2 linked regions of the Lytechinus pictus genome follow. The protein of the gene in region 1 interacts with the protein of each later gene in a pairwise test. Links are inferred from orthologs where the notes say so. Each region holds a gene or a part of one and is shown on either strand. Other genes may lie near its edges.

What was found.
Region 2: the proteins of exosome complex component RRP43-like (region 1) and polymerase delta-interacting protein 3-like interact in a two-hybrid assay, tested with the Homo sapiens proteins (2 studies listed by BioGRID). The link is inferred for Lytechinus pictus from reciprocal best matches to the Homo sapiens genes EXOSC8 and POLDIP3.

What each region holds. Positions count from the first base shown.
Region 1 is NW_026974140.1:15,580,825-15,589,574, forward strand, and holds the start of exosome complex component RRP43-like, read right to left. Parts: upstream 3,341-8,750; 5' UTR 3,280-3,340; coding exon 3,263-3,279; intron 3,156-3,262; coding exon 3,119-3,155; intron 1-3,118. UniProt on the Homo sapiens protein: Non-catalytic component of the RNA exosome complex which has 3'->5' exoribonuclease activity and participates in a multitude of cellular RNA processing and degradation events.
Region 2 is NC_087254.1:27,719,873-27,727,904, forward strand, and holds the start of polymerase delta-interacting protein 3-like, read right to left. Parts: upstream 3,554-8,032; 5' UTR 3,439-3,553; coding exon 3,353-3,438; intron 1,906-3,352; coding exon 1,515-1,905; intron 855-1,514; coding exon 648-854; intron 1-647. UniProt on the Homo sapiens protein: Is involved in regulation of translation. Is preferentially associated with CBC-bound spliced mRNA-protein complexes during the pioneer round of mRNA translation. Contributes to enhanced translational efficiency of spliced over nonspliced mRNAs.

The sequences.
Region 1 (8,750 bases):
ATAACAGTAGGCAGTGGCAATAATGATAATTAAAATGATGTTATTACTCTAGATAGCACAAAAAAGTTGATTAAAACAAATAACATGAAAGCCAAGTGTTTCAAATACTAAAATTATATTTATCCAGAAAGTAATAAAGACAGCAAAATATGGGAAGTCATGGAACTCATAATGATATAGTAGTTCAATTTATGGTAGAGATTAGAAAACAATAACATTCACTTGACAAGAAGAAAGAAACAATCAAGATCCAACTTCTAGTTAAATCAATGACATTTAAAAATTAACGGAAGAGATAACAAAACTATAAGGAAAAATTCAAATGACTGAGAACAGTGCAGTTTCAAAAGACTCTCATTGAAAATGAATATGATCATAACTAAGCACAACAAGTATTAAAAGACCTCTTAAATAATGGGAAGCAATTGTTTTTCTTCAAATGTTTTCAAAATGGTCTAAACAGTATTCATTATTCTATGCGAAACATAAAAGCAAAACAACTTCAAGATTCAGAATTCACATAGATCTAGATTACTCTAGTAATAATAGACTATCTATTGCAAGTGCAACTGTAGTGTAGACCTTATCAAGGGAAGAGACTAAATTCTTACATCAGCATCAGCAAATCAAAAATTAATATCAGGTTCTGTCCCTATCAATTTCCATAACCACAAAGTCAAATAAAATTTTACAATTGTCTCATATTCATAAACTTAATATTTCGTTTCTGTTATCATCATTAGATGTTGACCTCTCTAAGTCTAACTCTAAGTAGTTACTTGAACATACTCGGTCATGTCATCACGGTCAATCACACTCACACATAGCCATGCCCTCAGGGGCGGAAATCTCTCCCAAAAGGTAGGGGGGACACAGGGGCGGATCCAGCCTTCGCCAATAGGGGGGGGGCGGAAAATTTTTTCAGCCATATTTTCCCGATCGGCAGCACGAAGATGATTTTTGTTTGTTTCTTTGAAGGGTTTGTCCTCATTAGTCACTTCTTAGCTTTATTCTTATAAATTAATATATAATATCATAATCCTTATTTATATGATGCGAACGCGAAGCGTGAGCTAATTTTTTTGGAAATTTTATTTATTTTTTCCTAAAATTTGAACCGATTCTGGGCAATGTTTGTTATCCTGAAAAAGATGTATTCAACTTAATAATTACTACGAACGCAACGCGCGAGCAGAAATGAATTGATGGAAAAGATACCTGTTAAAGGAGCATTTAACAATCAAATAATGCGAGCGCGAAGCGCGAGCTGAATTTTGACATTTTCACCTAAAGAATGGAAATTTTAAGCACTTTTTGTAACTCAAGCAGAATAGGTATATAAGTAAACAATTAATGCGAGCGCGAAGCGCGAGCGGAAAATTTTGAGATTTGGTCCTATAATATTTACTGAACGAGACACTCTATTCATGTTTTGTAAATCCTGAAAAGGATGAGTATTAATAATGCGAGCGCAAAGCGTTGAACTGGTACCTGTTGAAAAGGTACCTGTTAAGGACTGCTTGCACTTAGCCATGAAGGCGTTACATATTTCAACAATCAAAAAATGCGAGCGCGAAGCGCGAGCTGAAAAATTTTGAACTTTTTAAAGAAAGAATGAAAAAATTTTAATCAGTTTTTGTAATAGCAGGATAGCTATATAATTTAACAATTGATGCGAGCGCGAAGCGCGAGCAGAAAAAAATTCGAGATTTAGATCTAAAAATGGGGCACTCTGTTCATGTTTTGTAAATCATCAAAAGTATGAGTAATATGGGGTCTTCCTACATTAATAATGCGAGCGCAAATCGCGAGCTAAAATTTTTGATAAACTGTCATGAAAAGGGGATTTTAAGTAGTTTGTTGTATAATCAATATTGAAACATTTATATAACTCGCCAATCAAAATGCGATTGTACAGCGCGCTAGCTGATACGTCTTGACAATCTGACCTGAAAAAGGGATATTTTGAAAACTTTATGGAATACACGAAAATAAAGTACCTGATAAATCAAAATTTGCAAGCGCGCAACGCAAGCAGCAAATGTTAACATTCAGACAATAAAACTGACATTTTTACAGTGCACTTTTTAAAAACAAATTTGTAAATTACACAAATTAATGAAAGTTCGATTTCCGAGGTGAAATATGTTTTGTATGTTGACTTCCTAATCCAAACTTGACATTCGAACTCCATATTGAACAAGATATGTAAATCACCTAACAGGCAATGCGAGCGCGAAGCGCGAGCGAAAATTTTATATAGTGGCACGAAAGATACTTTTTATTTTCCAAGTCTTCCCCTCATCTTATTTTATGCACTCGTCGTCCTTCTCTTCTTTTTCTCCTCTCTTTTCCCTCCTTTTTTCCTTCTTTCTTTCCCTTTTGTCTTTTTTTGCTCCGCCAAGAGGGGGGGGGGGGGGGGGGGCGGGCCCCTCGGCCCCCTGGATCCGCCTATGGGGACAAGGGGCGGGAAAATTTGACAAGCAAAAAAAAGGTTATCATCGCCAAAGTAAGGTCATCTCGTCCAAAAATTCATGTTTTATTTCAATTTAAAATGATGTATTTCTTACCATCATAAAAGACCAAAAATAGTAGGGGGGACATTTGATATTGTGTCCCCCCTACTATTTTGAGTAGGGGGGACACGTCCCCCCTGGGATTTCCGCCCATGCATGCCCTGATGCCCATGGCCATGGCATGACAGCTCAGCCTTGTCAGAGGGGCAAATAAGTTGTGTATAACTTTATGCCTACTTCCGACCAAGGTAAAATAAGTAAGTTACATTTCAAGTAAAAATTCCTGTAGGCTGTAAGTGTAACACTGGTCGACATTCTTGAAATCTACACATGTCATAGGGTATATAGTATAGAAATAAAAAACACATTATTTTGTAATAATTCCCATTCATGGCATTGTTCCTCTCACTCACTGACATGGGTCATGTCAGTCACTTTTTTTTCTCAGACTTACTTTTACTCTTAGTCCCACATTATTGACATTGTGTAACTAACTCTAATCTAATTAAGAGTAAGACTAGGCCCTAAGTCTAACAATCTAAGTTAAGTGAGTCATTTATTTTCAGTTCTGATCTAAATCTAAAGTTCAGAATCATACTAACCAAAAACTGTCTGTAGTATTCCACCGGCTGTGCGGTCCTGAAATACAAAGGAAAACAACATTATGTTAATTTAAGTAATGAAGATACACAGTAAATTTAGATTTTTCAAAATTTTACAAAATGTAAACAAACACACGTGCTTACTTGAACTCGGCCGCCATGATTGGAATTACACGATTAAATTTTAACCAGGCTGAAGCCAGCGCACAAACCCAGCGCACAGAATATATTGAAGCAAGCCAGCGCACAAACCCAGCGCACAGAGCTATCGCGATACAAACCGCCCTACACCGTGTGCGTAGTCTAATAGTCGCAGACCCTAAATACAGCTTAAATTCTCAAACGTTTCGAAGATTGTCTTAATGCGCACGGAAATGGTATAGTAAAAAGGCATATAGTTACCCGAACTTACAGATGATTGAAAATATGGAACTTCCATAATGCACCATTCCACATTATGATTGCTTCAAATGTTAGTATATGACTGATTTGTATAACATTTGAATATAATCATAAAGAATTGAATGGAGTATGTTTCTATATGGCATGAGTGCAGCTGAAAATAACACGGATCAAGAAGAATCAAACAAAGTTGGTAAAATGTTAACAATATCGGACAAGGATAGTAGAGTTATGATATTTTAAAGATCCGCATTTCGGCCAGTTCTATATTCCTTAAATTTCTTCTTTAACATTCAATGGAGAAAAGTAATCTCTCCTGTATATTCCCACTTTTTTAATCATATGAATTCGTGATTATTCAAATTACCTCCTCCTATAGAATTAAAAATATTGTATCAAAAATATTTAATGCATTTTTTCATTAATTTATGGACATTATTTTAATATAAGAGACATCACATGATTAAAAAATGATTTCACGTAACATTTTATAAGCAAAACGAAAGTTGGAACAAGACATCATGATCACTTCAAATGGATAGTTATGACTGCGTGCATTTTATTTTCACAAAATACTGCTTACTTCAAAATTCAGTATCAGAGTTTGATGATTGCTTCCGGATTCTCTTTTGTAAATTCAACTCTTATTGATAACTATCTTATTTCCAGCACGGAGTATACAACCATTTTATGTCTTCTGAGTTTCCTATGTGCAATATAGTTTTGCTTGTTCCCTAAATAAAATGCATCTGTTAATTAATTTTATATGAAGGATCAGTGTCTCTCACATGGGCCTTGGAACAGGGGGGAGGGGGGGGGGTAGATGACCACATTAAATTCTCAGTAAAATTTACAACTTTGATGCACTACCTGCGTCGGTTTCGGGGCATCTTAGACGCCGTCCCTTTTTTTGTGAGCCATTTAAAGTTCACCCCTAAATCGAGGAAGTGATTAATAAAGATCTATTTGGTTGATTTTCAAGACATAAAATGGTGATTTCGATTAGCGGCGAATTTATTACCAGACCAAAGTGGAATTGTTGGAATACACGTATATAACACATAGCACGCTCTATATTTTCGTCCATGTACCCCCTACCTTTCGGGGCATCGTAGACCCCGTCCCCCTTGTCTGTGCTACAATGTTCACCCCTAAATCAATGAAGTGATTAATAAAGATCAATTTGGTTGATTTTCAAGACATAAAATGGTGATTTCGATTAGCGGCGAATTTATTACCAGACCAAAGTGGAATTGTTGGAATACACGTATATAACACACAGCACGCGCTATATTTTCGTCCATGCACCCCCTACCTTTCGGGGCATCGTAGACCCCGTCCCCCTTTTCTCTGCACCAATGTTCACCCCTAAATCGATGGAATGACTAATAAAGATCAATTTGGTTGATTTTCAAGACATAAAAAGGTGATTTCGATTAGCGGCGAATTATTACCAGACCAAAGTGGAATTGTACGTTGGAATACACGTACATAATAATATATAGCACGCCATAACAGCTCGCACGATATTTTCGGCAATGCACCCCGACCTTTCGGGGCACCGTAGACCCCGTCCCCCTTTTCAGTGCACCAATGTTCACCCCTAGATCGATGGAGTAATTAATGAAGATCAATTTGGTTCATTTTCAAGACATAAAAAGGTGATTTCGATTAGCGGCGAATTTATTACCAAACCAAAGTGGAATTGTTGGAATACACGTATATAATACATAGCATTTTCGTCCATGCACCCCCTACCTTTCGGGGCATCGTAGACCGCGTCCCCCTTTTCTGTGCACCAATGTTCACCCCTAAATCGATGGAATGACTAATAAAGATCAATTTGGTTGATTTTCAAGACATAAAAAGGTGATTTCGATTAGCGGCGAATTTATTACCAAACCAAAGTGGAATTGTTGGAATACACGTATATAATACATAGCATTTTCGTCCATGCACCCTCTACGTTTCGCGGTATCGTAGACCCCGTCACCCTTTTCTGTGCACCAATTTTCACCCCTAAATCGATGGAATGACTAATAAAGATCAATTTCGCTGATTTTCAAGACATAAAAAGGTGATTTCGATTAGCGGCGAATTTATTACCAAACCAAAGTGGAATTGTTGGAATACACGTATATAATACATAGCATTTTCGTCCATGCACCCCCTACCTTTCGGGGCATCGTAGACCCCGTCCCCCTTTTCTCTGCACCAATGTTCACCCCTAAATCGATGGAATGACTAATAAAGCTCAATTTGGTTGATTTTCAAGACATAAAAAGGTGATTTCGATTAGCGGCGAATTATTACCAGACCAAAGTGGAATTGTACGTTGGAATACACGTACATAATAATATATAGCACGCCATAACAGCTCGCGCGATATTTTCGGCAATGCACCCCGACCTTTCGGGGCACCGTAGACCCCGTCCCCCTTTTCAGTGCACCAATGTTCACCCCTAGATCGATGGAGTAATTAATGAAGATCAATTTGGTTTATTTTCAAGACATAAAAAGGTGATTTCGATTAGCGGCGAATTTATTACCAAACCAAAGTGGAATTGTTGGAATACACGTATATAATACATAGCATTTTCGTCCATGCACCCCCTACCTTTCGGGGCATCGTAGACCCCGTCTTTCTTTTCTGTGCACCAATGTTCACCCCTAAATCGATGAAATGACTAATAAAAATCAATTTGGTTGATTTTCAAGACATAAAAAGGTGATTTCGATTAGCGGCGAATTTATTACCAAACCAAAGTGGAATTGTTGGAATACACGTATATAATACATAGCATTTTCGTCCATGCACCCCCACCTTTCGGGGCACCGTAGACCCCGTCTTCTTTTTCTGTGCACCAATGTTCACCCCTAGATCGATGAAGTGATTAATGAAGATCAATTTGGTTCATTTTCAAGACATAAAAAGGTGATTTCGATTAGCGGCGAATTTATTACCAAACCAAAGTGGAATTGTTGGAATACACGTATATAATACATAGCATTTTCGTCCATGCACCCCCACCTTTCGGGGCACCGTAGACCCCGTCTTCTTTTTCTGTGCACCAATGTTCACCCCTAGATCGATGAAGTGATTAATAAAGATCAATTCCGCTGATTTTCAAGACATAAAAAGGTGATTTCGATTAGCGGCGAATTTATTACCAGCCCCCGGCCACCAAAGTGGAATAGTTGGAATACACGTACATAATATAGCACGCCATAATAGCAGGCGCCGTATTTTCGTCAATGCACCCCCACCTTTCGGGGCATCGTAGACCCCGTCCCCCTTTCCTGTGCACCAATGTTCACCCCTAAATCGATGGAATGACTAATGAAGATCAATTTCGCTGATTTTCAAGACATAAAAAGGTGATTTCGATTAGCGGCGAATTTATTACCAGCCCCCGGCCACCAAAGTGGAATAGTTGGAATACACGTACATAATATATAGCACGCCATAACAGCTCGCGCGATATTTTCGGCAATGCACCCCGACCTTTCGGGGCACCGTAGACCCCGTCCTCCTTTTCTGTGCACCAATGTTCACCCCTAGATCGATGGAGTGATTAATGAAGATCAATTTGGTTCATTTTCAAGACATAAAAAGGTGATTTCGATTAGCGGCGAATTTATTACCAAACCAAAGTGGAATTGTTGGAATACACGTATATAATACATAGCATTTTCGTCCATGCACCCCCTACCTTTCGGGGCACCGTAGACCCCGTCCCCCTTTTCTGTGCACCAATGTTCACCCCTAAATCGATGGAATGACTAATAAAGATCATTTTGGTTGATTTTCAAGACATAAAAAGGTGATTTCAATTAGCGGCGAATTTATTACCAGACCAAAGTGGAATTGTTGGAATACACGTACATAATATAGCACGCCATAATAGCAGGCGCCGTATTTTCGTTAATGCACCCCCACCTTTCGGGGCATCGTAGACCCCGTCCCCCTTTTCTGTGCACCAATGTTCACCCCTAAATCGATGGAATGACTAATAAAGATCAATTTCGCTGATTTTCAAGACATAAAAAGGTGATTTTGATTAGCGGCGAATTTATTACCAGACCAAAGTGGAATTGTTGGAATACACGTACATAATATAGCACGCCATAATAGCAGGCGCCGTATTTTCGTCAATGCATCCCCACCTTTCGGGGCATCGTAGACCCCGTCCCCCTTTTCTGTGCACCAATGTTTACCCCTAAATCGATGGAATGACTAATAAAGATCAATTTCGCTGATTTTCAAGACACAAAAAGGTGATTTCGATTAGCGGCGAATTTATTACCAGCCCCCGGCCACCAAAGTGGAATAGTTGGAATACACGTACATAATATATAGCACGCCATAACAGCTCGCGTGATATTTTCGTCAATGCACCCCGACCTTTCGGGGCACCGTAGACCCCGTTTTCCTTTTCTGTGCACCAATGTTCACCCCTAGATCGATGGAGTGATTAATGAAGATCAATTTGGTTCATTTTCAAGACATAAAAAGGTGATTTCGATTAGCGGCGAATTTATTACCAAACCAAAGTGGAATTGTTGGAATACACGTATATAATACATAGCATTTTCGTCCATGCACCCCCTACCTTTCGGGGCATCGTAGACCCCGTCCCCCTTTCCTGTGCACCAATGTTCACCCCTAAATCGATGGAATGACTAATAAAGATCAATTTCGCTGATTTTGAAGACATAAAAAGGTGATTTCGATTAGCGGCGAATTTATTACCAGCCCCCGGCCACCAAAGTGGAATAGTTGGAATACACGTATAACATAGCACGCCATAATAGCAGGCGCCGTATTTTCGTCAATGCACCCCGACCTTTCGGGGCACCGTAGACCCCGTTTTCCTTTTCTGTGCACCAATGTTTACCCCTAGATCGATGGAGTGATTAATGAAGATCAATTTGGTACATTTTCAAGACATAAAAAGGTGATTTCGATTAGCGGCGAATTTATTACCAAACCAAAGTGGAATTGTTGGAATACACGTATATAATACATAGCATTTTCGTCCATGCACCCCCTACCTTTCGGGGAATCGTAGACCCCGTCCCCCTTTTCTGTGCACCAATGTTCACCCCTAAATCGATGGAATGACTAATAAAGATCAATTTCGCTGATTTTCAAGACATAAAAAGGTGATTTCGATTAGCGGCGAATTTATTACCAGACCAAAGTGGAATTGTTGGAATACACGTACAT
Region 2 (8,032 bases), on another chromosome or scaffold:
AATTCTTGGTATTGCTTGCTTAAGAAGCAATGGTCTCTCAGTGTAAAGAGAATGGCAATACACCAGTGCTGACAAGCTTCATTAAATGGTGTTGCAAGAAACTTGCACTCAATTGCAAGTCAAATTTGGGTCCAAATATTAATTATAACTCTGGCAATTAATTGACAATTTACACTCGATTGCTGGTGTGCTTCTTGTAACATGCAAATAGCTCTACTTACCGGTAGCATTTATGTATCAAATTATAATTTGCATCAGAATTTGCAATTGATTGCAAATACTTTCCTGCAAAGCCTCTTAAAGAGATAGCAAGAAATATAAAGGGCTCACTGGCCACCCCCCCCCCCTCCCCAACTGACTACTAACATGACTTCACAGGTACTGTAGTGCATCAAACAAAAGCTTCTGAAGTTTTGTTTCAAATCATAGGGGTGAGCCCAATAACCAGAAAACCTGAGAGAAAGGTTAATTATCCCTTATCAAGAATATATTTTGATTACATATTTTTGTTTTGGTGAAACATTTCTTGGAAAGAATGAGGGACTGTGAGACATGTGTCAAACTTTGCAAAGAATTCCCTGGCAGACTGAGGAAGACCCATACAGTGGATAGTCAACTTCTGAAGTTGACAGTGACTGGTGACTTACCTTTTGAGGTTGAGGAACAGCCTTGGTGACTCGAAGAGTACTGCTACCAGCCAGTAAGGGATTGCTGCTCTGACGAGCGGAGGTACCATGGTGAGAGGATGCCATGGAAATAGGCGATGGGGATTCCTTCTGAGGTGGGTTCCGGATGGTGATCTGCGTCTTGTTCTGCACTCTTGCAGGGTTACGCACAGTAAAGGTTGAACCCAACTGCCAATGGAAAAAAATATATATATTTAATTCATGCTTGCGAGCAATTCTAAATCTAACATACATGTATATTGACCTCTGGCCTTGCGGTCCTCAAACTCAGATTCTACAATTCATTGAAAAAAAACAGAAGGCATTCTAATGGCAATGCTGACAAATTAATCATTGTTGCATAAAGGGAAAATATGAACCAGTTTATTACCTGACACACATGCACATTATCATCTGCACTACCTACATGTACACGGTAATAGACTTCACAAGTAGCTGATTTTATACAAGATAAACTTTGAACCAAGAAACTAATGTCAAACTTAATCTAATTTTCCTCTAAATAGTAGGATACTGTATGCAGTCTTAAGTCAGAGTCCAAAGGGAGTGCATTTTTAAGGTAATAATGTGATGTTTACTATAAAAAGAATATGTGATGTATTATCATTGTCAATGTCATATTGGAGATTAAATAACTTCATACATGAAGGACAGTAATTCGATCATTGAATTATAAATAAAAAACAAATCATCAAAATGAATGTTCCTGTGATGATAATGTGAAAGATTCTCTACCTAGCAATAAACATCCATCAAAGCCAGTTAAAATTTCTTCATGTGATCTTCATGAATAAAATGTTTTCGATAAATATATTCTGGTTCTCTTACATTTGGCACTGTTCTGGCAAGGGGTCTGCTCTGAGGGGCACTAGGAGATTGTAGTTGCTCCCCACTACCCCTCGGTTGGCCCCCACCACTCCCCAGTTGCCCTCCACCACTCCTTGGTTGCCCCACCACCTGTCCATCTGCATTCCTCTTCCTCGATGTCAGCTTCTCCCTTGCATCGGTCTGCCTTGCTTTCTTGGCCAGTCGGTCCCGGGCATCACCTTGGTGGGCTTTCTGGATCAGCTTCTGTCTTGCATCAACGATCACTGGTGGTTTTTCCTGGAATTGTTGTTTTTGCCAACTGCCTCTACCCCTGCCTCTGTTCTGGCCCCTGGGGTTCACTTGAGGTGCTCTCCCACCCCTGCTTATACCTGCTCCCCCTCTACCTCTCCCCCTGCATGGTGAACAAATAGGAGTTGCATTGATTTTACAGCAATTTAAACTATCAGATTTAGATTAAAGAATATAAGCTAAACAATTGGTACCCTCTACATTATGTTGAATGATCAATAATGGAGGCTTTTAGGGAGTAAAATGAATATGCAAGCTTACTCTGTATGAAGTATCCTAGCTTAGATGGTCAAGCGAGGAATTAAACAGAACCATACTTTGCTTTCGGTTCTTTGTGAAAACTGAGTTCGTGGTAATAACTTGCTTGGATTTACTTGGATGTAAAGGCAAACAGGTAAATCTGGAAGCTATCTGCTTCTCATATTTCAATGGATGGATTGTGAAATTATATAATTTATAATCCCTGTGTAAGGTCACAGGCATTTTGTTCTGTGTTTGATTTCTATTTAGGGGGCACTACTCCATCTCCACGGCAATCCTGCAGTGGAGTAACTAAGAAAAAGAAGGTCGTCCAATTTTAATTTCAGGGTGGAAAATGTATTAAAAAAAAAAAAAATTATTGTGCTTTTTTTCTTAATTTCCCAACATTAACAGTGTAACACTGTAACAGATGGTACCATACCATGCAAAATTGTTCTTTTGTCGGTAGGCCTAATGGAGTAATGCTTAATTAGAGTAATTGCAAATCATGCACAGACAAGTCTTATGAACATGACTGATATCGAAAGTTTTACATTTCTTTTTCTAAAAACAGACAAAGGTCTACATGTATTAATTAGTATAACTAGTATGGATAGACTAAATTGGCTGTATGACTATTTCCAAGTCTAATGCTGGACATTGTTGTGTGCACCTGTATAGCTGCACGGTGAAGTTACAAGCCCTGCCCCTGGTCACATCTTTCCGATGCGATGGTGACGCAAAACTTTCGATCCCAGACATAAATAATCATAGGAATACCTGAATTTCTGATTGAAACACATCTGTAAGAACCCAAATAGTACAAATACATAACTTTGTCGCAAGTTCAAGATTGAATAACACTTTTAACAGTCATTGGATTTAATTTTCAAAATCGTAAAATCTTTTGTCATGTCAATTGTCAACTTATTAATTCAGGATATGAAAGAATAAAATAAGCTAAATAATGACTGTGTTATTGATATCATTTAATTTCTTTCAAATGAGCTAAATGATAAATCCCAGGTAGCACACACTCTCACAAAAATACTTCTGCACAAGTCAAGTGCATGCCAACCGGGTGCAAATCAAAGACAAAGTGCAGCCAGTGACCACTCGAACTAATGCGATATACCACGCACAACTTATGTGCGGTACCAGCGATTTAGCTCCTGTGAAATTCGAACAGCCGTATCACAGAATTGTGAAAGATTGATTAGACATGCGTGCGTAAGGATTGCGCAAGTCAGTGATGGTCATGGCATCCTGTGTGAGCCGTGGACCTGGCGTCGCGAAGAACAATATCTTACCTCCCCAAACGGTTCTGAAAGACAGAAGTTTTAGATGTTTTCCTTTCCCTGATTATGTCATCTAAAGACTTATCCATGACTTTCATCTGGACGAACCAATCAAAATTAATTATTTTAATTATTTTTTCGGTGAAGAAAAAATTTGCGTCGTATGTCAATCCGCGTGTGTCGACGTTACGAGCGTGTGTCGTGCGCGCGCGTATGGTAGTTTCAAAAAGGCAAAATACGAAGATAATATAGACAACAAAAAAAGTAAGTCCCCCCTAAATCAAATTGCAGTTACTTTTGAATTATATTATTTTGAGATATGATATTTCGGAGGTGGTTTTCTACCCTCACAAAGCAACTCCTGGTGAAAAATGAGATTGATCGGTTAAGTCATGCATGAGTAATTAAAGATTGAATTAAAAATGACAATTTTTTAAAGTCACAAGAGTCGTTTTTCAGATTCTGTTGTGCAAATACAAAATTGGGCAAAAGTTTTTAGGTGAATTTTATAGTGTTATGCTGTTTTACTATCCATCATTTAGCCACCCCACACACAATTTTGATATCGTATGTTCATGGTTGAGTGAGCACAAAGTATTGCAGGGGCCGCGGAAGCGGGGGGGGGGGGCTTCAGCCCCCCACTTTTTTCCAAAAGCATGTAAAATGTAAATATGACCACACGATTGTGATTTTTTGCATGGTCAGCCCCCCCCCCCCACTTTGAAACCGTTCCGCGACCCCTGTATTGTGACGTATCATCATAGGGGTTTATGGTAGTATCCTCTACAACTTGTTAGATCATGTTAAAATTTGAAAATGTTGGTGTCTCCCCCGATTATAGGCCCCTCCCCCATTTTTTTTTATTCTGGATCCACCACTGATTTGTCCATAAATTAAGCTGATCATGAGAAATTTATGCAGTATAAAGAGTATTCATTCCTAAGTTTTCGAATGTGCTCGCTCAACCCTGAAAATGTTTAAAGTTCGGAAAGTGTGTGGTGATAGAACTTGATGGATGATAAAAACAACAGCAATTAAAGTCACATTTGAAATTTTCATTTTTGCACAAAATTCTGCCCATAGATTGATAAACATTACTGCCAAATGACATTGCTAAAGACAGCCTTGAAAAAAGTTCCACCATATTGAATAAGGGGTTACTTATTCTTAAAGGAGAATGAAACTCTTGGAGCAAGTTAGCTTTTGTGAAAGCAGAAAAATCAAAGAATAAGATCAACAAAAGTTTGAGTAAAATAGGACTAGCAATAGAAGAGTTATGAGCATTTGAATGTCGAGATCACTAATGCTATGGAGATCCTCCCATTGGCAATTCGACCAATAATAATAATAAAATAATAATAATATGGAGCTTTTATATAGCGCTTAATACAATGCAGTTTCTAAGCGCAAGATCTATGATGTCACAGATGAACAACTCTCCCCTTTTGGACACTGAAAATATACCCCAAAACATCTCCTTTTGCTCATTATAATCATATGACAAACGATTCATCAATGATATAATGTTGTGAAACCTCTGTACTTGTCCTCTCATAAAGAGAACTCCTCACCTTGTGATAGACTCTATAAAAGTGAGAATATAAGTGAAATAAGTATTAAAGTAATGAGGGAGTTGTACGTGTGTGACATCACAGATCTTGGTCGCATTGCCAATGGGAGGAACTACATGGCATAAGTGATCTCAATATTCAAATTCTCATAACTTTCTTATTATTCATTCAATCTTCCTCAGCTTTCAACAATATGTTTCTTTGATTTTTCTCTTTGATATGAATTCAGCTGGTTTCAAGGGTTTCATTCTCCTTTACATATGCACCTATAATGTACACAAGTCTATGAGAGAGAAGGTCAAAATTATAACAAATATGAAATGAGGGTTTGTTTCATGGACGGTTTTTGTTACTTCTGCCAACAGTTATTTCATAAAACTTCGCACATGGCTTCAGAGTAACACTATCCAAAAGGCGCGCACACCAAAATAACCATTCGATACGGCACAGAGTGGGGCCAAGGCATTGAACTTTCTTCTCATTTGCATGATTTTCGAATATTGTGTGCTCGCTGATGCATTAAACATCGGGATTTTCATAAAATCAAATCAAATGAACTATGCAAGGAGGTTTGTGACAGATATCTATAGTTACAAATTGCATTTTTTCCAATAACGTAAAAAAGAGCTAATCACATTACATGTTCATTCAAGCGTGAAAGTTTAATTAAACGCCTTTGAATCATTGAAGCATGTTATTTGGTCATGAAAATAACGAAAAAGTTGAGAAAATATCATTTTCAATTACCAAAATGAAACAATACATGCCTGTGATATTTGAAAATCGTATTTTTTGTTTTCAATAAATGTTCATTGAACCGTGAAACGATGAATATTGTTGAAGATACTCTTCCCAAAAATAACTGTCATCATATTCTATAATTTTTATTGATAGAAAAGTGTAAAAGATCCAATTATAGCAAATTCGGACTTGTGTTTATTCAACCGTGAAATTTAGCCAAAAAATGTTGTATCGTCTCAGTTTTAGAAAGTACCTTTTACAAGCCTTCTGACTGTTTTTCATGATGAGATTGTGGAATTAGATCCAATAAAATGGAATCAAAGTAATGATATTTGGCTTGTGACTTTTGAAAAGTGAAATTTTTGCCTTTTGACGATGTTCACTGAAGCATGACGTAAAATATGTCCATAACATTTACTCAGAGGATAGCTTATAAAATTACCTACACGCTTATGTAAAAATGTATTAAAAACTCGCATTGGTTCGGAAATTATTGATGTTTGTTTAAGGGGGGACTTACTTTTTTTGTTGTGTATAGTTGACGAAGTTCGACTGAGATGGTTATTGGTCATTGTGCTTATAGCAGTAACAAAAAAGTCTTATTTGCATACAGTTAACAGATAATCCTTCCGCTTTCCTTCAATTACAAAAAAATGTTGGTGCCACGCGATAGGCTTCTAATCATATTATTATGATCATCATGGGCGGAAATCTGTCCCAAAAAAGGTATATGGGGGCAGGGCCTTGAAAATTTGACAAGCAAAAAAAAAAAGGTTATCACCCAAAATGTAAGCCCATTTTAACCCACAAATAATTTGACAAGCAAAAAAAAAAAAAAAAAGTTTTTCACCCTTAGTCCAAAACACAAGTATTATTGAAGTAATGCATTTTTCTCCATCATAACAGACCAAAAATAGTAGGGGGAAATTTGATATTGTGTCCCCCTACTATTTTTGGTAGGGGGGACACGTCCCCCCTGTCTCCTTTGGGATTTCCGCCCATGGTGATCATGATGACTAGAAGCTTAGATGGGATGAGTAGGCCCACAAAAAAAATTATCTCTTCAATTTAAAAATAGTGACAAATTTTATTTCAGTATACAATGTATTTAATTTCAGTATCTTTCAGTATCTTTAGGTCTATGGTCTATCCCCCCTCCTTCCCCCCGCCCCATGATGTCTTATATTATAAGATGCATACAGTTTATTTTAGATAACGGAATTCGACAATTTAGTTTCAAATTTTCGAACAAGATATTTTACCCTCAAAAGATAATCTATATGAGTGGCATGTGACAAATAACTTATGAAATATTTCTGAGGAAATTGAAACCACTTTTCACTCACACTGCATAAAATCGATTATTTTGGAAGATTATAGAAAGATTGAAAAGTTGGAGATTGTTTTTTCCATAGATGAAAAAAGGTTTGGCCTAATTATCGGTAATTAAAAAAAACTCCCACTGTTTAAAAAAACGTGATTTTACAGAATTTTTTTTTTTTTCTTCAATTTAACAGAACAGGTCTGTTTAAAAAGTGGAAATGGGTGTTTCATTTAAGGAAATTTGTAAGATTCCATACATCAAATACCAATTTCCTGTAAGATTACGCAATCTGGTAAGATTACAGGTGCTGCAGGAACTTCTTTTATTTTAAGGATAAATTTTCTAACAGTGCCGCCACGCCTTATCACAGACGGATCCAGGGAGGCGAGGGCCCCGGCCCCTCCCAATAATTGGCGGAGCATAAAAAAAGAAAAGAAGGGAAAGAAATTTTAAAAGGGGTGGGGGGAAGAGAGAAGGAAAACATGATTTTAAAAATAAGAGGAGGAAGACGAGGGAAAGACTTTGATTTTTTTTTAATCTTTAATGTCACTATATGCAATTTTCGCATTGCCTGTCCGATGAGTTTCATATCTCGCTCAAAAGGATGATGAAGCTATATCAAGTTTTGAGGTCAATCTACAAAACATATATCAGCTCGGACATCGAGCTTTATATACTTTTTTAAATTATTTTGCTTGATTTACAAATGGTGATTTTGTTTAATGTTCTGTAAAATGTCCATTTTATGGTCTAAATATCAATATTTTGAACTCGCGCTTCGAGCTCGCATCATTGATTTTCATGATAAAAAAAGTATTCAGAATGCCCAGATCTTTAGGTCAAAATCTACTCCACGCGCACGCGTGTTTTTGGGGACACACCAGCTTTCCTTCATTTATGCTTAAAATATCCAGTTTCAGATCAGAATTTTTCATGATTTACCAAACATGAATAAAGTATCAGGCTCTTAGGTCTGATTTTTTTTTTCCGTTAGCGCTTCGCGCTCGCATCTATTGTTTAGTTATATACCTATCCCTTTCATAATTACAAAAAGTA